3 linked regions of the Drosophila melanogaster genome follow. The protein of the gene in region 3 purifies or fractionates together with the protein of the main gene of each other region. This does not show direct contact. Each region holds a gene or a part of one and is shown on either strand. Other genes may lie near its edges.

The links.
Region 1: the proteins of Pez (region 3) and Prx4 purify together in Drosophila melanogaster (affinity purification with mass spectrometry, with the first as the bait; one large-scale study listed by BioGRID). This does not show direct contact.
Region 2: the proteins of Pez (region 3) and Mapmodulin purify together in Drosophila melanogaster (affinity purification with mass spectrometry, with the first as the bait; one large-scale study listed by BioGRID). This does not show direct contact.

What each region holds. Positions count from the first base shown.
Region 1 is NT_037436.4:3,039,700-3,045,617, forward strand, and holds Prx4 (peroxiredoxin 4), read left to right. Parts: upstream 1-2,659; 5' UTR 2,660-2,751; intron 2,752-2,850; exon of another isoform or gene 2,851-3,073; intron 3,074-3,345; 5' UTR 3,346-3,352; coding exon 3,353-3,506; intron 3,507-3,572; coding exon 3,573-3,690; intron 3,691-3,741; coding exon 3,742-4,147; intron 4,148-4,205; coding exon 4,206-4,256; 3' UTR 4,257-4,475; downstream 4,476-5,918. Other genes in the region: CG2162 (uncharacterized protein), read left to right, coding at 1-119, 228-277; scramb2 (scramblase 2), read right to left, coding at 5,147-5,170, 5,274-5,432.
Region 2 is NT_033778.4:17,865,073-17,874,577, reverse strand, and holds Mapmodulin (mapmodulin), read left to right. Parts: upstream 1-2,562; 5' UTR 2,563-2,673; intron 2,674-2,916; 5' UTR 2,917-3,201; coding exon 3,202-3,249; intron 3,250-4,720; exon of another isoform or gene 4,721-5,551; intron 5,552-5,769; coding exon 5,770-6,146; intron 6,147-6,208; coding exon 6,209-6,291; intron 6,292-6,489; coding exon 6,490-6,795; intron 6,796-7,018; coding exon 7,019-7,252; intron 7,253-7,324; coding exon 7,325-7,368; 3' UTR 7,369-8,259; downstream 8,260-9,505. Other genes in the region: thr (three rows), read left to right, coding at 8,728-9,027, 9,083-9,505. UniProt on the Drosophila melanogaster protein: Implicated in a number of cellular processes, including proliferation, differentiation, caspase-dependent and caspase-independent apoptosis, suppression of transformation (tumor suppressor), inhibition of protein phosphatase 2A, regulation of mRNA trafficking and stability, and inhibition of acetyltransferases as part of the INHAT (inhibitor of histone acetyltransferases) complex.
Region 3 is NT_033779.5:6,331,568-6,341,367, reverse strand, and holds Pez (Pez), read left to right. Parts: upstream 1-2,696; 5' UTR 2,697-2,720; intron 2,721-2,874; 5' UTR 2,875-3,225; coding exon 3,226-3,310; intron 3,311-4,096; coding exon 4,097-6,053; intron 6,054-6,114; coding exon 6,115-6,982; intron 6,983-7,043; coding exon 7,044-7,262; intron 7,263-7,329; coding exon 7,330-7,506; intron 7,507-7,560; coding exon 7,561-7,884; intron 7,885-7,946; coding exon 7,947-8,075; 3' UTR 8,076-8,487; downstream 8,488-9,800.

The sequences.
Region 1 (5,918 bases), on a different chromosome or scaffold from region 3:
GCGTCCGGAAACCTGCACGGCCTTGGCCCGACGACTGGTATCGGGTGCACTGGGAGTCAAGCTGCCCACGGCGCCGCAGGAACGGGAGAACGAGAGGCGGGTACTACGTGAAGCCAAAGGTGAGTGCGGGCCATGTAACTAAACTGGGTCAAGGATATACTTGATTTGGAATCATTGGCGCTGCCTTCCCTTGGTCTTTTATTAATCTGCCTTATCTTTTTATTCAGAACGCAAACTGCTAGCTGCCAAACAGCGGGACGAAGTCTGGGAGAGCTAGACCGCGGCCCGGAAGAAGGCCAGGTGCATTTTTCTCACCCTTTTCTCATCTGCAATAAATGCGGCAGCAAACACAACACCATGTGGATCGACAACAAGAAACACCACCATTAACGCCCACAAAAACAATTCTCAATCAAAGCTAACACAGTAAATGAGTAATTCGCATGCTAAGCAATGTACTTTTAATGTTCGCTTTTTGTGAAATTAACACAGACTTTTGCTCAATTTGTTGTAGTTTTTAGAGGATGCAATGCATATTATATCATCTAGGCCGTAAGAGAGAAATATCTATATTTATTGGTCGTAGCAATTAAACGTGCAGAGAGACGCGTGTACGTGTTGTTTTAACTCCAGCCGTAAACCTAATTTTTAAGCGCGAGCAATTTATATATTGATATACAGTTTGTCAAGAAACTGTTTACACACTGTGAAATAAGTTGAATTTTTGACTTTAAAGCTAAAAATAAAGGGTTTTTTGCTTAATTAAACGCAATTTTTTTATAAAATATAATTAAACAATATTTATTTTACTTATAAATCAAAAAACAAATTAAAAATATTAAATATACAAGAAAATAAACAACAAATTCCAAGTTTACACACTTTTGAGACTGTCAAGAAACTCTTTACACAAAACACTAAATCGAAGTTTAATCCTAAATTTTTTAATTATTTTATTAAAATTTTAAAAGTTTTGGTATGTAGTATGTTCCCCATTGGCTTTAGCTACAAGTTGAAGCCTTTTTTTCATGGATTGGACAAGTTTTTGCAGGTCATATTCAAACGGGATCTTTTCACACTCTTCGACTATTACAGTCATAAGCTGTTGTTGTGTTTTAGGTCCCTTTTTGCCACCTTCTTCTTTAAGTAGGTCCACAAATTTTCAATGGGGTTCAGATCAGGACTCTGAGGGGGCGTATCGATCACTTTACCACAGTTATTAAGGCGCCAGGTGCGTACATTGCACTCTTTATGTTTCTGATCATGTCCTGGTAAAACTTAAGATTTGGCTTGTTGTTGCTAACTAGACCGAATTTTTCTGCACTGGCCTTCAAATTTGTTTTTTAACATTTCTAGATATTGCACGGCAGTTATTGTGCTCTCAATTAAGGCTAGTTTTCCCACTCCACGGCTGGTGATACAGCCCCAAACCATCAGTGACATTTTTCCAAATTTTATCGTTGGAATGATATTTTGTTTTTCTAGCGCACTCAACGGTTTGCGCCATACTCTGCTTGGCCCGTCGTTATAAAAGAGCATCATTTTTGTTTCGTCACAAAATATGACGTCATCCCAGTACTCTTCCGCATGATCCATCATGCTCACAGCGAATTAATGACGCTTTTCCATATTGGCATCTGATAGCAAAGGGTTTTTCCTTGCAAATCTTGAAGAGTACCTATGGCGTAGGATGACTTGGCGCACAGTTTCGTGTGACACAGTTAGGTGGCATTCTTGCCTGATATCCAGAGCAAGTGATCTGACCGAGATTCGGGGGTTCGCAATCACTATTCGCATAATAAAGCGGTCTACACGCTTTTTAATTTTAATTTTCCGCCCACCACCGCTCTTAGGTTCAAGCCTGCCCTCTTTTTCCGAGCCTTTTAAAACATTGTAGACGGTCTTACGGGATACAGGAAACATTTATACTAATTCTGGAAAAGATTTTCCCAACTGGTGGTTATAGTTTATTAATTGGGTAACTTCAAAAGTTAATCTCTTTCCAGGCATTTTATTAAATTTAATAATTCGCTTTAAGCACGTTTGATCAGCAAAATTTCACAAGCAAAGTCAACAAAATTTCAATAGAAGCGTTGTAAAAAGCAATGCAAAGCCAAAAATAACGGAAAAATCGAGTTCGTTCTAAGAAAAAGAACAAAACAAAGTAGGAAAACAAAATGTGTAAAGAGTTTCTTGACAGTCTCAAAAGTGTGTAAACTTGGAATTTGTTGTTTATTTTCTTGTATATTTAATATTTTTAATTTGTTTTTTGATTTATAAGTAAAATAAATATTGTTTAATTATATTTTATAAAAAAATTGCGTTTAATTAAGCAAAAAACCCTTTATTTTTAGCTTTAAAGTCAAAAATTCAACTTATTTCACAGTGTGTAAACAGTTTCTTGACAAACTGTATATATTTTAATAAAGTTTATAGCGTAAGTAAAAGTTAACTGAGAAAGTGTTTTTTACTTAAAAAAAATTGGATAGATCATAGCATGGCCATACATCGCTTTTGATTCGCCAATGCAGCACAGATATTTTTTCTAAAATAATATTCTTTCAAAATTGCAGTTACGCGTTAATATGAAATGAAAATTCAAATATTTCATAATGAAATTTATGTTGGCAATGCTGAACTATGCATTGGTGTCGGAACGACAGTATGGTATTTTTGCGTATTACGGTCACACCAATGCCGGCAGAACAATTTGTTATTAAAACAAAAAGAGTTAATTATAGCGCTTAAAAGGTAACAGCTGTGCGTTTGCATTGTTGCTTAATGCAAGCAAGTTAACTACCCTGCAACTAAAAATAAATATTCAAATCGGAGCTAGGCAATCGCATTGGCATTGGAATTTTAGTAGTTTTGTAAACTATATTTGTTTAAATCGGTTACACGCTGACAACTATAAATTATAATAGCAGTGAAGTGAATGAAATTGATAAGCTTATCTTTTCGGAAGCGCAGCAACAATAAGCGCGTTCCACCAAAATCAATTGAAGTTCTGCCCGTTGAAATAGTTACTTTTTTGACTGCGTGGCTACAAGTTGTGGGCGTGTTCGAATTTTGGGTATGTGCGTACAGTAGAGACTGGCTGACACGGACGGAACAAGGATTTAGTACATAGAAGGAGTATCTTTTCTTTGAAGTTTAGTTTTGTTCCTAATTAACATTCAAAATTATATATCTTTACATAATTTACAAAATTAAAGATAGTTGGGCGACCACTGTACACAGATTTATTATAAATATAAAGAGCGGCAATAATTGTAAAGGCCGCGTGTAATAAATAGCGTATAAACCGAATCCAATAGCCATATACGTACGTGGATCTCGTTTCAGCCCAATCATGTCCAAGTACTTATCTGTCCTACTGCTGTCCGCGGCACTCGTTGGAGCTGCCAAGCCGGAAGATAATGAATCGTGCTATTCCTTCGCCGGCGGCTCCGTTTATCCCGACCAGCCGAAGGGCGACCATCAGCTGCAGTACACCAAGGCAGTCAGTGAGTTCCATTGGATGCAAAAAACCAGGGATCACTATTAAGTTGCTGCTACCCTTATTTCCCCAGTTTCCAAGCCAGCTCCGCAGTTCGAGGGCACCGCCGTGGTTAATAAGGAGATTGTGAAGCTATCATTGTCCCAGTATCTAGGGAAATATGTGGTGCTACTCTTCTACCCACTGGACTTGTAAGTTTACATTTACATTTAGTATGATCGCATTTCTCATTGCCATTTTAGCACCTTTGTATGCCCAACGGAGATCATTGCCTTCTCCGACCGCATCGCCGAGTTCAAGAAGATCAAGACCGAGGTGATTGGCGTCAGCGTGGACTCGCACTTCACCCACTTGGCCTGGATAAACACGCCGCGCAAGGAGGGCGGCCTGGGCGACGTGAAGATCCCACTGCTCTCCGATCTAACGCATAAGATCAGCAAGGACTACGGAGTCTACTTGGAGTCCAGCGGTCATGCGCTGCGCGGTCTCTTCATTATCGATCAGACCGGAGTGCTGCGACAGATCACCATGAATGATTTGCCCGTGGGACGCTCTGTGGACGAGACTATTCGTCTGGTTCAGGCCTTCCAGTATACGGACACCCATGGAGAGGTTTGCCCAGCAGGTTGGCGGCCAGGTGCCGATACGGTAGGTTTTTTGAAGCATTGCCTTAGGTAAATTCTTTTTGATACCATTACCTTTACAGATCGTTCCCAATCCTGAGGAGAAGACGAAGTACTTTGCCAAGAACAACTAGGGACAGATAGAGATGCACATTACCTTAGTAGCCTAGCCCAGTTACATTCCTAATGTTCACGACTGAATCACGATGCAAACGAACAATCGCTAGAGTCCTCTGTACAGAAAATCCAAATCCGCAATGCCACCGATTGTGAATATTTCGCATTTGCTTTGTACAAAACATAGTTTGTTTATTTTACAGCATAACTGAGATATAAATAAATTCATGAAGTACATGTGAAGGTGATGAAAATTGCGCGGCGCCACAGGAGCGGTACCAAAAAGGAGGAGATGTTTTCGATCTCAAAATGCCTTGAAAGCTGGCTCACTAGGCCACTCTAATGGGTAACAATTCGATTGCAATTAGTTTCATACAAAAATATATGTAATATGTAATATGTAGTAGGTAAAAGGTAATAGTAAATTAGTTAGGTACGCCATGGTTGCAATTAAGTTATCCTGTGCTCCGACCTATGCGTACAACAAAGCTAGGTCTGTCGAGGTATATAAATCTGGGGAAACGGGACGGGGGCGACGACAATAACTAGGACGTCATAAGGCACTCGTTCTCGTCGGATTCTTCGTGTGTAGTCTGCTTTCTGTTTTCCGTTTTGTGCGTTTGTCAGTAAGTGCTTCATTGTGGTGAGCTTTAAATGCCAAAACCGAGGTTCATAAAATAACGAAGGTGCAACTGCGGTTCAGATCCAAGTTGTGCGGGAGATTCCTTTGCTGCGGAGATTCCGTATCGATCAAAGCGTTGCACTGTTCAGATTCCCGGAAACGTTAATCAAATAAGGGGTTAAAAAGTTCTTAGAGCTATGACCATGCAACACGTCGAACCAAAAAGCAGTCGGCGATTATAATGTTTGGGCGTTTGTTCCTTTAGAATGCGATTCATCATACAGCCTACTGCTCGTAGTAAACCGCGTCCTGGAATTAAGACAAACACAAATCAATGAAGGGAAACGAGTATATAGCACTGGCATATGCTTTATTTCACTCAGTGATATATATGATATACTGATATACTCACAATCAAAAAGAGCGCTGCGAATATGAGCGCCTTCATGCGGACATCCAGATTCAGGGGGAAGGTGACGCTGAAGTAGTCCGCATCGGTGAACAGCTCCCTTCCCAGTCCGGACCATTGTTTGCTGATTTTGCCGATCTCCTCGTTGTTGGCGCTCAATACCTGTGCGCGGTTAAAGGGGCGAGAGATGTTTGCGTTTCGCATTAATCGGTTCGCAGTTCGCGGCATCGCAATTAATTGACTCGCTCTGGACAGTCAGGCATGGCTAACCATGACGTCACTGCCTCGGACTGCAGTCTCTTTGCTTCTGTACGATCACAGCAGCGGTCAGTAAAAGGGCTCATAGATCGGCACAAACACTTGGTGCATTTTAGCCATAAAAAGTATAAATTGATTGATTGATTTTCCTATATCTAGAGGCATCTGTTAAATAACGTATACAATTGAAAATTTAAAACTAGTGTGGGTGCTATTAATTTGAACGCTTCTGTCTGTTCATAATTATTTAGAATATATGTATATAGGCACTTATAAATGTTTAATAATTAAAAAAGCAATTAAGTGGACGCCTGATACTGTTCATTTTGGAATTTTATAAAGCTTCGTCTTTGACTGATGAAGACCATACATATGTACTCCTCCGAAGAA
Region 2 (9,505 bases), on a different chromosome or scaffold from region 3:
GGTATTACACATTTACACATTTTCCAAGTCTACGATTGTGTGTGGATTACATATGGTAATTTCCTTGGGACTTTCACGATTTTTTTTTTGTTTTGGTTTGCGGGTGTGTAAGGTCAGATTATAATCGTATTTTTCAATCTGAATAAAATTAGCCGAGATTTTTCATTTCGTTTTTCAGTTTTATTTTGGATTAGAATTTATGGTAGTCGCTCAAAACACTTTTTTTTTTTTGCTTCGGTGGGAGAAACACATGTTGTACCACGAAAATTTCGTTTTAGTAAACATGTGCCAAAAATTAAATCAACTATATGTGAGTGAGTTTATAATTTGATTACTTTTATAATTTATGTCTTCGGATTTCGCTGTTTGAAATTTGAATTTGCACTTTTCCACTTGCAACATTGTTGCTGGCAACTTTCGCGCTTCTGCACTTGAACTAGTTTCCCGTTACAAGCCTTTTCAATTTTCCTCAATTTTCCCAGCCGCACGCTAGCACATACACACAAACACACACACACGCACGCAGACAGGGAGAAAGGTGGCCAAATCCACTGATAACAGTTTCGCCTGGATTCAGTTACGGATGTATGCGCTATACCTTTCGCCACGTCCGACTTTCGAAGCCACTCAACAGCAACTGTTGCAAATGTCGAAAAGGCAACTTGTGGCTGCTGCTTTTCGCCTCTGTCGACGTCGCAGCATCTCTTTTTTCCCGAGCTTTTCCGAGAGCTTTTCCTCGCACCACGGCAAACTGTTGATTGGTCTCCTGGATGTGCGAATGTGTGTGCGTGTCTTTTGGCCAGAAAGAGAGCACAAAAGAGAGTCCATCGTCGACGGCATCGCCGTGCTTTACTTAGTTAATTAGTACCCATTCAGATGGCAGTAAACAGTAGTTAGTTCCTGTTAATGGGCCTTAAAATAAGTCATTCAAAATGGCATTAATAAGTGCACGGAAATGAAGGTGGTAAGTAATTTTAATTTGAATACATACTTATATCTAAAATTTGTCACTAGAAAAAGAAACAAAAATAATTGTTTAAAATAACTTTAACCTTTTGCCCAACATTATATTGTTGAAAAAGGGGGCTAAAAAAGTAATGTTCAAAGTGGTAATAACAGATACCATCCACACCCTCGAAGTCAACCATAATCTCTCGAAATTTGTTTTCCATTCCGTTTATTTGAACCCAGCACAAAGCCATTAAAGCTGATGTTTACCAAAGCAACAGTTACCAATGGCACACAAGTACACAAATTCTGTGGCTGAAAGAAAAGCTCATCGTGGCACTTGCTGCTATTTGGAGACCGCAAATAGACGGCACACTCGCAGAATTAACGCGCTTTTAATAGATTAGAGCCAAGCGACGGCTCTTCAGGGGCACTTCGAATGGTGCAACCGATGATGCCGCTCAAGGACCTGTGCACCCGATCTGCAGATAATGCTAACAACCTGACCGACACCCGCAACCCGTTCCCACCTTGTTATTAGTATCCCCAAGTGGAGCGAGGACACACGTTTGGCAAATTTGCCCAGCCAGAAGGACGACTAATTGATACGCAAGCCCAAGCTGGCACGTAGGAAAATAACAAAAAAAAAACGCAGTTTACACAGCATTATGTTATAATTGTAATTACATACAAGTGCGATAAACTACTAAAGAATTCATTTGCAATAGAATATTCCCTCAATGTTCGAAACAGATAATATTTTTCCCACTGTGTGCGGCTGAAGTAATTTTTCTTCTTTGATACTGCAAAAACAATTACCTGAATACCTGAATGTTTTCGTATGCTGCGCGGCCGCATTAAGCTCACATTAAAATTATCAGGAATAAAGAGCGGCAGGTAAACGAGGCGAGGAAATCAAATTGAATCGTTTACATCATTTAAAGCTACGCCAAGTTCACGGACACGACGGCAACTTTGCGTCCTTGCGGCCATTTTGTTCAATCCTGTGTACCCATACATACACATGGTTGCTTGTTGGGAAAAGCTAAGGGGCCATGTCAACAGACGGTTAACGCTTTACTTCCTCGAAAGGCGTTCGTTGACTTCGCAGCGTAAAATAAGCAAGCTTATGCTGCTTTGTTCTGTTATTTTTCGCGCTTTTCGCAGGGCTAATTAAGGCGTTCGTCCTTCGAAACGGTAATCCTATATATCCTCGATTCAGCGACCCTGTCTTGCAGCATCGCATTACCGACGGATGCACGCGCTTCTGATTATGCCGCATTATTGCTAACGGCGTCATTTAGTCTTAATAGGTATTTTGAAATGTGATTAACGCTCCCGTCCGTGATAAGCGCTTTAACGTGTGCTTATTACAAATTAAATAGTGGTATACTATTTTGGTTTTAGTGCAGAAGGAAGTTCTTAAATTAAATACATTTGAATTTGGCGCTCAAAAAGCAGACTGGTACAAAATTACAGCATCTAACGGTCGCACTTTAGCGAATACATGCACCTATCGTAGCAGGTACCCACTACCTTCCAAGCTAGTTCGCTCTCTCAACCCAAATTGCCATCACTACTAGACAAAATCAATCGATATATGCAGGGGATAGTATAGGAGGTATCGAACAATCATCAACTGAAGTGCCAGCTCTAGCGTTTTGCTTTGGTTGAAAATACAATTAAAAATTGATTCTGAAGTATTTAAATATTCTGCATCGCCAGGTGAGTGCGTGTTGCCAGCATTGGCATATTTTTCGGCCGGAAAAAGGATTCACAGTCCATTCAACCATCGAATTGATGTCCAAAAGTCGGTTTAAAAAGGCGCGTCATGTGCTGGAATCGAAGAAAATGCGTTACAATGCAGCAGTTGCAGTTGTGCACTTTATTTTTTGTGTTTCAATAATTACCAGTAACTAATTAATTTTCTACCTCCCCCACCCACTCTCCACCCATCTCCCTTTTTAGCCATAAAAATCTGCGAAAACCAAACGGTGGCGGCATCGAAAATACCGAAAGAAGCACAAAAAGAAAAATTTGCAAGGCTGCGTCTGTGTTAGTGAGCGTGTGCGAGCGCGCGTGTGTTGCTCTGTGTGCGTGTGTGTGTTGGCGAGTGCGAGTCTTTTGCCTTCAGTGCGTGCGCTGTTTCTCGTGTGGAGCCCAAAGGAAGAAAAACACACAAAAATACAAGGAATCCGCTAAGGAAAAAAGCGTAACCAAAAAGAACATCCAAAACAAACAAGTGCCGCTGCAATGGAGAAGAGAATAGAACTGGAAAGACGCGCACGCAAAGTAAATCAGGTAAGCTAAATACAAACGATGAAAAAAAACACGCGCCACAAACTTAAATTGAGGTCCAAATTAAGTGACGCTTTCGTGTGTGTGTGCATTATCATGTAAATCTAGTTTCAATTTGTTCATAGACGACATACAAAAAGTGCTACGGAAGAAGCAGCAAAGCGGCATCAACAAGAAAAACGAAAAAAAGAAAAGAAATTGATCGCCATAAGCAAATTCTACACACATGCCTCTGTGTGCGTGCGTGTTTGTATGCATGTGACGCCAGTGTTGCCATGTGCGCGCATTTTTGCGCCTTGCCTGCTGTTTGCTCCTTTAGAATGCAGGTTTTGAATTCGTTTACAAGCTATTACGTATTTAATTGCAAGTCCCTGAGTGATTTTACTGCATGGCTGATGGAAAGCGATCTTTTCGGGCCAGACGAGCTAGAGCACTTGGAATTGTATTATCTCCACAGCTGGCAATGCTCCTCGCTTGTTGTTCTTGCTGCTGCTGTTCTCGTCGTAGTTGTTGTTGTGGTTATTGCCGGCCTTCAATTGTGACAAACACGGGCAACATGTGTTTGTGTGTACGTGTGTTTGACTGCATGTTGTAATTTCAGGTTATTTGATACCAAATTGTATCTATAACAATATTATAGCGCGCGCATCATCCGCACAAACACACGCGTACCACGCACAAAAGATACACATGCATACGTAAGACGACTTATGCACAAAATAATCGACACATAGCATACATATCAGTACATCCATCCATACATATGTACATACATATATTGACTGCGCAGTCATAATACTTTTATGCTCCCCTTCTTCTTTTCTTCTTCTAACGTGTTTACCTGCACGCCATCGCCTCTAGCCATCCCGCTCCCGCCCACTCGAAGTGGCAAAGAAATGCAGGCGAAAAGACAAAGCCGCTGATTAATAAACATGCGCTCTGGCTGGCCGGCCAGCCTACTCAATCTCAATCAGCGGTCACCCAACCGCCCAGCCACCCACTGCCCGCCCAAAATGCACCCCACAACAGCGAAGTCAGCAGAAGACAAAAAATAGCAACGTATACACACTCATTCGCGCCTAAGTCAAAGCCAAACGCTGTGTGCATTCATTTCCACTCATTTGCTCAAATACAGTAGACACTCTCTACTGTTAGCTATATTTTAGATCATTTGCATTCCCCACTTTGGTGCTTACTAGATCGATCAATAGATCGAGCACAACCGAATTCTTAGCCGTGAATTTCATACGAACATTTTTTTCATTTCCAATTTTTATAAATTATACCTTTGGGGAAGTGCCACTTTGTTTCCTTTCCAAGAGTTAAATTTTTTGTTTAAACTACACCATATCCATAAAAAGATTCTTAACATAGTTAAATTGATTCCATTACCAAAAACATGATTTTGAAGTTCATCAAACAATAAGTTATTTATATTACAAAGTATATCAAACCGAATACAGATTAGGTTTTGCAGTCAGTTTTTATTTACAATTTTATATTTTCATATTCAATTTTGTTGATAATTATTAAAAATTGTGTTGAGCTACAGTTAATTTTCTTTTAGGATATACCAAGATTCTTGCCACTTAGAAATAAAATAAATTTGAACCATAATTCAGGTTAGAAAGTGTCCGCTGTAAGCACATAACTGTTTCTCGGCTAGACAGAGACGGACAGACGGACTCTGAAGGCACCCATTTTGTTTCTTTGTTGTTGGTTTTGTTGTGGCGTCGTGACATATTGATAATTGGGTAATCTGAAGTGAACTTGCACAGCCTCCAAAAGGCGTACGTTGTGTACATTTATTCATTTGTAGATTATCAGACCACAAAACACCACCCACTCTCACCCCCACCCACTATTCGCAGACAGGCGCAACAACTAAACTACGTCACGGTCAACCATGTTGTTGTTGTTTTGTTGCTGCGAGTGCCGGCTAGTCTTGTTGTTCCCCTGCCATCTCCCTTCCACTTCTTGATAATTCCGTTTTGCTCGTCATTCTTCTCTTTGCGCATTCTGCTTTGTGTCGAAGCACACGCACACATACACACGCTTGTGGCACACACACATATATTGGGGTTACATAAACGCGAGTTGGCACTTTTTCCTCGTCGCCTGCATTACAAAAATATGCAATTTGGCGATGGAGCAGCAGCAATGTTTACCAAGTCATTTGCATTAACGCCAAATTGGTTATTTTGCATGTAATTTCGTTTTGCATTTCAACAAAAAAAAATTTCTCAGCGTTTGATCGATTTTTGCGTATGTATTGTTCTCCATTTTTTTTTTCTGTTCGCTTTGCGTCAAAAAATGTTACAAATGTGACCAGACTGCGAGGCTTGAATATTCCACAATGAATACATCAAATATACCAAAATAATCGGTATCGTTTGTTCTTGTCTTCAATAACTAATATCGATAAGTAATAATTGGTTTAAAAATTATTCAAAACTCGTTTCATATAAATAAAATGAACTACTTCTAATTTATGTATTTACTCTCAACCCTATTATAACCTAGATCACAGAGCTGAATCTGGACAACTGCCGTAGTACAAGCATCGTTGGCCTTACAGATGAATACACAGCCTTGGAATCGCTTAGCTTGATCAACGTGGGTCTCACCACACTGAAAGGTTTCCCCAAGCTGCCCAATTTAAAGAAGCTCGAACTGTCCGACAATCGGATTTCGAGTGGCCTCAACTATCTGACCACTAGCCCCAAACTGCAATATCTCAACTTGTCTGGCAACAAGATAAAGGATCTGGAAACCCTGAAGCCCCTGGAGGAGTTTAAAAATCTGGTTGTTCTGGATTTGTTTAATAACGACGCTACTCAAGTGGATAATTACCGCGAGAAGATCTTCAAGATGTTGCCATCGTTAAATTTCCTAGATGGGTGAGTTTGAGTAACTTCTTTCTATTGTAGAACAATAAAAGTAACTTCTTGACCACTTCCAGATTTGATTGCAACGACGAGGAGGTGCAATCTGATGGCGATGATGATGATGAGGTCAACGGCAACGATTCCGACGAAGTGGGAGGTGTGTATTCGACGTATTTATAGAGACCAAAGATTAAATCGCAGAATTCAGGAGTTTTTTTTTTATAAAAGATTTCCATGTAACCACCATTAAAATTCCATTGTCCGTCTGTTTAACTTAATCGCTTATTGTGAATCGCGCTTTCTTCGTATTAACAATAATATCATATACTCAACCGTGGCTTTTGTCGCCTTTCAGATAAGTGCAATGCATTCTGTTTAAATGGTTTAGAGATCGATTTAGACGAGCTCGAGGCTTTCGAGAAGCGGGTTAAGGCGAAAAAAAGTTTGCAGGACAAACCACCTCCCCAATCGGAGGACAAAGAAGTAGACGAATTAGATGAATACTTGAAAGAGTTGCAGCTAAGGGAATCTACTGATGCTTCAACCGATGAACAATCTGTGATAAATGCCACACCGCAGCCTCCTAGCAATTCTAACTTAAGTTTTGTAATCCTGCTGTATTGGTTCCTTGCCATTTTAAATTTGGGCAGTGCTACATATTGTAAGCATAACGTTTCTGAACTTTTCTTCAGTATTAGTCGAACTTCTCTAACTCGAAAATGCTGCAGAAAAAGTAAAGATTCTCTTACCCACAAGAAGCGTTATAGTAGTTCGTAGGTTTGTTGATCTCAATTCCGTTGAACACATTAAAAAATCGATTTAGGGAAGTTCGAGATGTACAAACAAGCAAGTTGGTTTAATCAAATTTACCTTTGATTTTTCAGTTTCCGACGAAGATGACGACAGCGATGATAGCGACGAAGAGGCGAATGGTGAAGTGTCCCTGTCGGAGGTGTACAATGACGATTTGGAAGAGGATAACTCTGATTGGGAAGGCGAAGACGAGGCTGGCGAGGAGGACGAGGAAGAGGATTCCGATATTGATGATGCCGATGGTGATGCAAACGAATCGGCTGCATCAGTGAATGCCAAGGACAAGGATGGCGAAAAGGAAGCAGGTAAGTTCAATTATTTATATCCCAGACAGCATTAGTTCTTAATGCCATATATTTTCCTTTTTTTCTTTCCAGACGAGTCGCAAGTCAGAGGCAAGAAGAGAAAGCATGATGGTTAAAACCCTGATCTGTCGGTATAGCGTCTTTGTACGTTATAAATTTAAATATACACCCACACACAAAACAAAAACACACACACACATCATATTTTGATAGAAAAAGATGATAAATCCTTTAGGAAACCCACAATTTGTTTCTCTAAAATGTAAGCTAATGAAAGAAGAAATCGACAAAAAGAAAAAACAACAAACAACCCAAACAAAGAGGAGCATAATGAACGTAATAATCAAACAAAGCTAAACAAGAAAAAAATACATGTTTAAGCGAGAAAAATCGAGGAGGAATGCAAAGGAAACCAAGCAAACAACCAATTAAGCAAGTCGCATTAGTATAGCCTCATCCGAGCCCAAGTTCCAGTTTCATTTTAAACACCTTCGCCATCTTCAGGATTCGCAACATGAAATCCAAATCACTATGTTAAAGATTACACAATTACAACGTGTACAATTTTTAGCCATCCAGCAGCATCTTGTTTTCAAATTTCAATCAGTCACGAAAATCAAACAATAGCTTTCCGGCGTTATTTGAACAACTGCGGATTTGTCAACGTTTCGCGTGAAAACGATCACACAATTTACTGCTAAGAACTTTTAACTAACTCTTAAGTCATTCCTTCTTTAAATACGCATAAGTTAAGCATCCTACTTCGCCCACTTTCTGCTCAAGGCGATTTAAACACACTTACATTGTTACCCATCACCCACCTCCCAGATACACAAACTTTATCTCCGCGTCATTCTGTAAACGTAGAGCACTCACTTTTGAGCAACCCGAATTGTTTACCTTTATATACTTTTAAGTGTACTTTTACCACATACCGAAATGTTTCCACTTATTCATTGGCAGTAGTGTTTTCATTAAATGTGGCGAGTAAATCTTATACACAAAACAATTTTAGACAAGACTTTTCATTTAATACACAAGTAATTAACCGATTATTATTAAAGCAGGCCCCGCGTTAATTTAACGAGATGAGATGTGTCTTTACCAGCCCATTGAAACTGAAATACATAAACTACATCATTTTAAAATTGTCTTTTACGGGGGAAAATGGGAAAATGATTTCTATTAAAGAGAAGAGCTTACGCATATGAGCGTATTTTTTTTTATTTAAATCTCGATATCAATAAAGCAACAAATTGTATCGTTATCGGAAATGAGCATGGAAGTTTAGTATTTTCCACAAGAATTTGTAGTATTTGTGTTCTGATATGAAAACTAGAGATATCGATGTTATCGTTAAAGGATTTCCAGCTTTAGCATGGACGGTCACACTGGATCTCAAAATCTGGCGCAAAGCAACAAAAAAGGAAGCGTCGCAGTTAAACTAGTTAAATGTGCCAATTCCCTTTGAAAAAATGTCTACTGATATAGCCACCCAGCTGAAGGGCAGCCGCTCCGATGTGGAAAAAGTCCGCAAAACGGTGGAAGCCAAATTCCGGGAGTTGTCTGGCGATGGACTACCTCTGAGATACGAAGTGAATGTATTGCGCCATATTTGCCTCGCCTTAAAGGATAATCTGCACCAGAACTCGGATCTTTACTGCGACATCATGGGCATAATGCTGCCACGCGTAGTTCCCTGCGAGGAGAAGCCAAGCTTATGGGAAGCGCACTTGTCCAGCCTGCGGTACATACATCATGGCTTGTTTCATCAGGTAGGAGTCGCTATAAGAATCTTCGAATCTTTCTAACCAATTCTCCCGTTCACAGCGATCCATTGAAGCCTGTCAGAAGCTGTACAACCTCATCCGACAACAACCCTGCCGTCTGCAAGAAGAATCAGACTACAAAATATATCTGGACATACATTTGACCCACTTCAATGGTTTCCATGTGCTGCTGCAGAAGCAAAAACTCCCCTTGGAAGCTACAAGTCAATTGTGTTATGCTTTGGAATCATTGGGAGATCTATTCGCAGCCATGACGCAAAGGCAAATAAGTCTATGCGCAACGCTTCTAGTTCAACTAAACGAGAGTTTATTTGGCAAAAGAAGTAGATCATTCTTCAAGTCCCTAAGCTTCCTGCCGTCGGAGAGTCTTGCCAAAATGTTCAACGCGCTGCTTATGCTCCTGGCCAGCAGCACCAGTTCGAACCTGGCCAACTTATTCCCTGAGTGCCTGAGTCTCACGTTG
Region 3 (9,800 bases):
ATGCAAATTGAGAGGGTTTACTTAAGCTAGAGTTTGGGTTTTGAAATGCACACTTGGAGTTCAATGAAATTCGCCCCGACTGCTTTGAGTTTTAACTAGTGCCGAAAGCATTTTTACTAGAACTCTCAACTTAAGCAGTTGGAAGTTTGAGCTGATCCCAGGTGTTATCTTTTGTTTTGTGGGGGCTTAAGGAGCTCTACTGAATTTTCACCTTGAATTCGGGTTTGACTTAATGCTTTAATGTTGCTAATGCGCCGCTACGTGCGTGAACTTTGTATAGAGTCGCGTAATAGTTCTTGTTGCTGTGGTCAGCAAAAGGCAGAAAATAAATATTAAACACATGCGAGGCATATGCAAATCGACGCCAGTATCGTCATTCTCGTCCGATTTCGAGGAAGGTATGTGTTCGACGCTCCCGATAACAACCAACACTGACAACAAGTGGAGGTGAACATAAAATTGGCGTCTTTTTATAGGTCACCCATGTGTGCTGTTCGATTGACGGAATGACGACAGCGCAATGATTAAATTGTGTTAGGAAGCACACATATATATCACGAAAACCAACAAATGTTCCAAAAATGTTAACATAAATTCGGTTTCTTTAGTTTTTTTTACGAAACAATAGATCCTAACTCGTTCAAATGTGTATATGTTTCCTCCAAAAACACTCTTTATTTGAGTGCTTCTTTTTCTAGTTTACGACTAAGTAGTTAATCTAAATGAATGAGATGAATGATCTTGGTTATTTCTGCTTAGCCATCTATTCAAACAAAGTTTACGATCTAGTCACAACAAACGCCCATCTAGTATCACCCTACACACTTGTAATGTGCGTGATAACGCTTAGAATCTCGCTTGGCATATGTGATTTTAAAATTCCCTAAACACGATGACACTCTCGAATTACTCGTCCGAATCGACGGAGAATTATAAAGTAAGCATGACTATGCATATTTATTTCGCGCCCAAGTGGCTTTCGTTATCATAAACCTAGTTTGGCTGTCTGGAAAGGATGAAATGTAACTCCGCGCTCACTTTAACCGAAGTCCATTAAATGTAATCCCATTACGGAACCTGCCCTTTTAATGGTTCTTTAATTGGAAGAACTAATAGTCTAGCTTTAATAGGTAGGTAACCCTATAATGGGGTGTCATAACATATAATATAATATATTTATTTAGTTTGTCTTTGAACTTGAATTTCAGAGAACTAATTTTTATCCATAAAAGTTCTTAGGAAGTGTACAACAATGTACAATTTTTATATTTTAACTGATTTATATATATGTAAATATGTATGTACGTACATACCTAGACTTGCAGTATCTCCTACTAAGTTCTTAGTTCTTTCAAAATGGAACGATTTTACAGAGTTCAGTTATACAAGGCAGCAAGAGTATACACACTTCGGCTTTTCGAACTAAGCCACTTTCAATTTCGTTGTAGTAAATTTTGATACTAGGATTTTGTTTACATCGTCATTAATGTGTGTGTGTTTAATTAGCATAAAACAATATATCGGTTGGCTTTTTTCACAAATTGTTTTTAATAAATTGGAAACTAAATGCAACGCCAACTCCAATTGGAAAATGTGTAAAGTTGGTGTACTTAGGATTTTCAAATGTTGATTTTTTGAATAAGGAAAGGCAGGTTAACGGAAATTAAGAACATAGCTTCGTCGCTCATATCGAGTGCTTACTGTACGGGAAGCAGACAGTCGACAGCTGTTCTCAGCGGAGAGCCACGAGCAGAAAAGTAACTTGATGGCCGATTGGCGACCCGAGTCGCGTTTTTGGTTATGCAATTCGGCCTACGACTCGGTTTGAGACGTGAAAGGCGGCGATACAGCGTGCAAATAGCGCAAATTAATAACAGAAGTGAATTAAATTAAATTACACGCAGCGCGGACGGAGTGAGCGAGAGCGCACTATCGCACGGGCGGCGGCGAGGCTGTGCGAGAGCGAGAGGGAGAGGGAGACTGGGCGAGCGCAGCAACAGGTACTGAACTTTAAACTCGCTCGCAGGGCTCTTCTGTGTGTGTGTGTGTGTGTGAGCGAGCGAGTGAGCGATACGGTTGCTCCATCATCTGTCCTCGTCGCTGCAACCTTGACCGCCAATGCAGCGCTCGAAATATCTAAGCAGCAAATTAATTATGGACTGGATTTCGATTTTGGTAATCGGGTTTTGCTTTTTGGATTTCGACAGTGCGTGGCCTTGTGATTCGGCTCCTCGAAACTCACCGATCGCGATCTCCGACTGCGCTGCTCCTAATCCTCTGTAGATAGACGACGATCGGTGGATGTGGATGTGGATTTGTGCCCCGTCTCTGGTGCTCTTCCTGTTGCAGCCCCTCTCAGCAGCTTGGCAGACGTCAAAGCCCTTGATTTAAATTCGCTTTATTCAGTTACGCAGCGGGGCGAAGCCACGATCTTAATTTTAATTCGCTTTATTCGATAAAACGTTGACGGAGGGCGGCAAGTGCAAAGGGGAAGTGACGACTACCACGGCAGCAGCAGTACTAAATTACTGAATTCCAGAGGGACCGTCGTCGAATCGCGGTGTGGATTTCTCAGTTGCGCGCACTTTCCAGCACTGGAGTTGGAACGGATAACAGAGCTATGCCAGCACGCCACCTATGTGTCCAGTAGCTCTGTTAAGTTTGATATTTTACTGTTCGCTAGAAACCGTTATTCTCTTGCTGTGTACAACGAAGTATTCGTGTGTATCAGTGGTTTTAATATCTTTAGGAATTTTATTTAATCACTGCTGACTGCATTGTTATATATTTTAAAATATAAACTGTTTTGTTTCAGTTACATATTTCTTGGTTGCACTTGTTTTCTTTAACAGAACTAAACCTATTTTCTTGCAGCCCACTGCGCAAAGACATACCGATAGTCAATGCCGCCTATCGATCCATTCGATGCCAGCCACCGAGATACTCAGTCAGCACCTGCGTATCGATATCAGCACTTCGGTCTCTTCGTTTTATTTCTCGTGAATTCCTTTATTTATTGTCGTTAACTGCCCAATTACTATCTTTAACTTTACTTAACCAATACGCGCAGTGCTCTGGTTTGCGTGTCTAATCAGCTGATTCAAATCGGCTAATTCCAATTGAGCAATTTACTCCCCCAAAAAAAACCTGTGGTGTCGATGGTGCTGCCGTTTTAGCCACTTTTGTGAGCCCAGCGGAGCCCCGGTGGAGCAAAATAGTCGAAAAATGCCATTGAAATTCTTGAAAAAGTGTCGCCAGTACAATGTTACGTCCAAGAGTTTGTTTGTTATATCAGTGCATCACCTGCTGGGTGAGTAAGCCCCACATTCCTAGAGGCGCTACGCCCCCCACAACAACAACAGCGACAGCAACGACAACAACAACAACAGCAATAGCAACAGTGGAGACGAGACAATAGAAACAACAAGAAATCGGTGACAAAGCCACAACTTAACAGCTGCCGTCTGCCATTGCAATTGGGATTATTTAATTGGGAATGTGCACAACGATTGTCATGCGGCGCCCACTTCCAGTTTAGCTGGAATTCGCCTTCCAAGGCACAGACCACAAAAATGCCTTCACTTGTTGCATTCTAGTTAACAGTCGCTGAGTTAACAGAGGCGCACAGGACACATAACAGCGACCGTTAATTCTAAAACTAACAGACTGCCTATGAGAACTTCCTAACTTTGCGTACTTCACATTTTGTATATTATTTACTCTCGATTTTGGGCTAAACAAAAGCATGTTTTGTAGTTCTTATACACTTAACCGAATGTACTTATTTGGCAAGCGAACTGAAGACCTTGACTCAATTAAAACCACCCAAATTTCTCCAACCATCAGAAAGGTTTTAGACATTAGGCCTACGTTTCGTTAGTTAGGAAATACGACAGATGAGAGAAGCCAATTGAGCGGCGCCGCCACAATTTCCGTCCATAAAACGTATAAGGTCTCGAAAGAGATTATAAACTTTATTTGCATATTTGCGCGTGCGACGGGCAGGGCCAAATTGTTGTTGTGCGGCGAATTTAGAGTGCTTGGAGCGACTTAGGCCGATGTTTGAAGCACGTTTTCACTCTTACCTACATTGCAGACACATCCAGCACAGTGGACTGCACGATCAGCTCGGAGAGCAAGGGACAGGAGTGCCTGGACAACGTTTGCCAACGTTTGCTAATCCAGCAGCCGGAGTTCTTTGGACTGCGCTACCTGGTCAAGGGCAAGGACAAGGAGGACGAGTTCAAATGGATCGACCTGGAGCGCTCGCTCAGTCGGCAGCTGGAGAAGTATGCGGCGGGCCCCAAGATCTACTTGCGCGTTCGCCACTACGTGACCACTGGCGTGCGCCACTTGAGCGACGAAGCCACGCGCTTTTACTACTTTCTGCAGCTGAAGAGCGACATCTACGAGGGCCGCATCGCCTGTGACATCCGCACGGCCATACTGCTGGCGCTCTACTGCCGCCAGGCGGAGTACGATAGCTACCAGGGCGACAAACAGAGCAAGGACTATCTGAAGAAGTCGCTGGTCCTGCCGCGCAACATGCAAGGCCTGGCCAACGATGACAGCATGCTGGAGGGACTGATCGTGGAGGTCCTGCAGCAGCAGGCGGGCATTGCACATCTGAGTCAGAGCCAGGCGGAGGAGATGTACATACAGTGCTGCCAGCAGCTGGAGGGGTATGGGGAGGAACGTTTCGCCGCCAAGGACACGCTCGGCAATGATTTGTTGCTGGGCCTGGCCATCAACGGGATGGTGGTGAACGCGGACAACGGTCGGCAGTATTTTCCATGGAAGGAGTTCCACACGGTGACCATCGACAAGCGAACGATTAAGATCGAGCAGAACAAGCTGGATGGTGGCGGCAGCATCGTGGGAAGCTTTATATTCAGCGAGGCGGACACGGCACGTTACTTCTGGAAGCTCACCATTAGCCAGCATAAGTTTTTCAAGCGCTATATTGACACGGCCACGCCCTCGAGCCTGGGAAGTGGTGCGGATGCGGAGAGTGGTCCGTTGGGCGTTGACAGCGTTGGTTATGTCGACTACGATTACAATGAAGCGGCGGCCGCCGAGCAACTGCAACAGCATCATCAGCAGCAGCAACATATGCAGCAGCAGCAACAGATTCAGCAGCAGCAGATGATTTCCTCCAACATTTCGCTGGCTACCAGCGCTAACCAGATGTTGGGACAAAGCAGCTCCTGCCTGGATTTGAGCAACAACAACCTGCACAGCAGCAGTGGCATGTTGCACCACGGAGGCAGCAACAACAACAATAACAACGATGAGCGGGAGCGCCTCAAAGCCATGCTGCCCACATACCGCCCGGCACCAGACTATGAGACGGCGGTCCAACTAAAGTACCGCACACCATCGGCGGAATTCCACAATGTGGCACTGGCAATGGCCGCGCCCGGAAATGCCTACTATGCGGGCTCCCAGCCTGATGTACACAATCCAGGCATGCACAACGAGAACTTACTGTATGGTCATATGACTGCGCATCGTTATCCGGACGTGGCCCAGCCGGCGGCTGCCCTACACCACCACATCAACCTGTACCAGGCACAGCATCAACCGCAGTCACATCCACAGCCCATGAGCCCCGCCCAGGCATACCTAGAGCTCTCGCAGCGCATGCATATGATGCGTCACAAGGCCCCACCGCCGTATGTCAATCGGCTGAGTTCCTCCTCCACGCCCGATCTGGCCGTGGCCACTCCCCGTCCCCTTCAGGGTTTCCGCAACTACGTAAGCGGCTCCTCGCCGGATCTAGTCTCTAACCGCACGCTCTTCAATGGCGGTCAGTACGTTGCTCTGCCCGCAGGCGGACATGCCGGAAATATTCCAACATCTTCCGGAGCCACCATGTTGCACCAGTACCAGTACGTGAGCCACATGGGGCACTCGCAGCCCTATCTGCCCCCGCACGGCACCTTCGAGAACCTCAACATGATCGAGGAGCAGCCGTCTATAATGTCCCAGCTGCGACAGTCAGCGATGAGTCAGGCAGCAGCTGCAGCTGCCGGATCTGTGGTAACGCAGAGGTAAGTGTAATGAAGTCGTAAAATAAACAATATAACAATACTTTTCGCTACGATCTTGCAGTTCACCTACCCTGCCGCCGAGTGGATATCGTAGTTCTGTGCCCCCGCCAGCGAGCAGCCCGCTTCCACCGCCGGTGGTTGCTTCGTCCCATAAATCGGCGACACCGGCGCCACTACAGAGGAGCTTGGTGAACGGTTCCATCGAGCCCATCTACGAGAATGTACCCCTGCCACAGAGAGCCTCTGGTGGCAGCAGTGGTGCCGCAAATACTGAGGCTATGCGTCAAAGAGCTTCCTCCATACAGTCCGCCCCAGGCGTTGTCCCTGTTCCAGCTGCTCGAAACGCCAGCTCCAACAACGTAGTTACTGTAACTGTCAATTCTCCACCCGACGATGGAAACATAAAGAAGTACGGCGCAGACCGAGCAGCAAGCACGGAGCTGCTGTTCCTGGAACCGCAGGCTCCTAAGCGGACCAATCGAGCCGCCAGTGCAGCGCCAGATATGGGAGCCACACCTCCGCCACGACAACATCGCTCAACAGCAAGCCTAAACAAGTCGTCGACGGTCGACATGATCACGCCGGCCGGAGACACGCTGCAACAGCAGTTCAGTGCCATGAATCTTTCTGCCAACACATCAGCTTCCACATCCTCCATGTTCAACTCAACGCTGGACACCACGTCCTCATCGGCGGCCAGCAAAGACTTAAAACGCAAGAAGCGATGGAACTTTTTGTCACGCAGCAAAACACCCGACAAACAGAAATCCGCCACACTGGGCAGGGAAAAGGCCACAACGGCAGGTCAGCACTCCAAGCTGGCGGCAAAGCTAAAGCTAGCCCAAGACGATCTCAACCTGCCAAATCGTTGGTCCACAGGCGTCAACAAGCCGCAGCCCATTTCTGGACGATATTCCAAGGACAAACTGGTAGGTTAAAAGTTATTACGATTTGGAATCCATTTCGATTAAAGCGCTTGTCAACTTCCAGTGCCAAATCCTAGACCAAAAGCTAAGTGACTCGCAGCTATTCATGGAGTTCGAACGCATACCGAAACGACGGGAGCATGCCCTATACGAATGCGCCCTGCTGGAGGAGAACGAGCCAAAGAACCACGACCCCAACTTTTTACCCTATGACGACAACAGAGTGCGACTGACTCCATGCCGAGACAATCGGCATGGTTACGTTAATGCTTCCTCCATATCTGTACGTTCAGTTGACACTCAAGATGAAAAGCAAATTGTGTATTTCATTGTTGGAACATCTTTTTCAGGCCACTGTGGGCACAAAGCAGCGGTTCTATATTGTGGCCCAGTCGCCACAAGAACCGCTTACCATGCGCATCTTCTGGCAGTGTGTATGGGAGGCGGATGTGTATTTGGTGGTCCAGCTAACCGAGGATATGAGCTATATTCCTCGTAACAGTCATCAGCGTCTCGAGTTTGGACAGGTAAGTGAACCGCATAAGCTTTTAGTTCTGTTCCTCAAAGGTTCTACTTTCTAGTTCCAAGTGTATCAGGAATTCTCACAAACCACCGATCGATGCACCACCATCAAGCTGCGCCTTTACCACGTACCATCGCGTCGATACCGATCCGTTTGGTATTTGCAGTACGCTGACTGGGCGGAGCAGAATTGTCCACGCGATGTGAATCACTTCCTCGATTTCCTCGAGGAGCTGAATTCCGTGCGATTGGCATCTACGCAAGAAGTTCCGCCGGGACATAACACAAACCCACCAGTTCTTCTTCACTGTCTGGAGGGAGGCGGTCGTTCGGGAGTGACACTGACCGCCGATCTTTTACTGTACACGTTGGACCACAATGAGGTGAGTGGAGAAAGGGAATTTATTATTCCATTTCCATAAGCATTATTTTCTTACGATCGCAGGACCTGGATATACCTCGAGTTATCGGGCAGCTAAGGCATCAACGGGATAGCATTATACCATCCCTGGCGCAATACAAGTTCATATACAATCTGCTTATTACCTATTTGAAGCGCACGAGGCTCATCTGAGGTTCTAAAGAATATGGAAAACTTGGCAAGAAGTATTTTTCTTTGTTTAAGCTTAAATTGTTTATATCGAACAAATTTCCTTTAGTTCTCGTTTTAAAAAATCAGTACAACTCCGTTCAGCAATTTTATATTTCTACTGGCAGCTGTTGTCCCTATAATCGTTAAATTTTAATACCAACTAGTTTTTAAGCTCTAGATTTGTTATAAAAACAGAACCCCCCACAATGGCCACTTTATAGATACATACATAAATATAAAAGTAGCGGATAGGTAGTTGTTTTGGCAAGCCAGTAAAAATGCCAGTTAACTAACCACAGCCACAACAATTGGGCTTAGGTTTAAAGCCGAACTATTTATACATGTGTATTTTAATAAATTTCGAAATAAAAACAATAACAAATTGATAAAAAGCAATAAGCACATTTAACTCTTATGCGACGTGCAACGTGTTTTTTCTTAAAAAATTATTCCCAGCGCGCTTCCCCAAAGAAAAGGTTTGAAAAAAATTAATTTTATTTTTGTTAATTTGGTTTGATGGTCCGAAACATAGTTAATACATGTATAATTGTCACATAGGTCTTAAAATATGAATTAAATGTACTTCATGTTAGTTTGGCGATCTGAAGACATTTTCATACAATACGTGGCAAAAAGGAAGACATATTATGAATTTATAGTCTTCAGATTTAGGACAAATTTTGTTTTTCGGTAATAAAAGCCAGACATTCATTTTTTAGACGTCTTCTCAATTTGATGAAAAGTTTAAAAATCTTTTTAAACTGCCCACTTTTTTCATTCCCCACTAGAATATTGAACATTTATAAGAAGACGTCCCCAGGATCTTTGAAAATCAAAGATACAATTAAAAGATCACTTTTTCAAGGTAATATTCATTATTAAATAATTTTATTTTTGTGCACCTTTGCAGACAAGTTGCAAAAATAAACGCTCAACATGACATTGAAAAAAGTCTCTCGTCGTTTTTCAAAGATTCCTAAAAATCTAATCATTTAGCTGCACAACATACAGATATATAAATACAGAAAATCATTAAGCAAAATACGCGATTTTTATTTATACAGAGTACAATTTAGGCTTCGATCTAATGTTTTTCTTAAGCCTTAAAAAGCAAATTTGGTATTTAGTCTAACTTAAAAGTACAAAGAGCACAATGTATACATATATAGCATATCCAATATCGTTTGATTTGATTTGTTTTTGTTTTCTCGAATTCAGCAAAACATAGTTTGATTTTCTCTTTGAAAATGAAGCGAGAAACGGGTCTCCACTCATGGTTTGTATATATATAGAGATTTCTTGTATATAGCTTGTATATGTAGGTTGTATATATATATATTGTATATATCTATGTATATAACAGGCATTCATGCACACACAAATATTCATATTGGAGTTCCTTACGTGTGAGAAAAATACGATCAAAAATGATTATATATGGTTTTTTATATGTCTCAGGTTTGTCTTTCATAACTTATTTCTGTCTTTCGTGGAAGTTGTACTTTGATGATTTCCTTTTTTTGTGGGCTAGTCTAGGTATTGCTAGGAGTTGTATAATTCTATACACAAATATTGCATTTGTCTGCCACTCTTCCTTTGAATTCTTCGGAACGAATGGTCAAAAATATATTCGAAAAAATGTTTTGTCTATCTCTCTTTTGGGCTTAACAACTAAATATTTGGAATTGGAGCGAAGGTTTTTCGTAA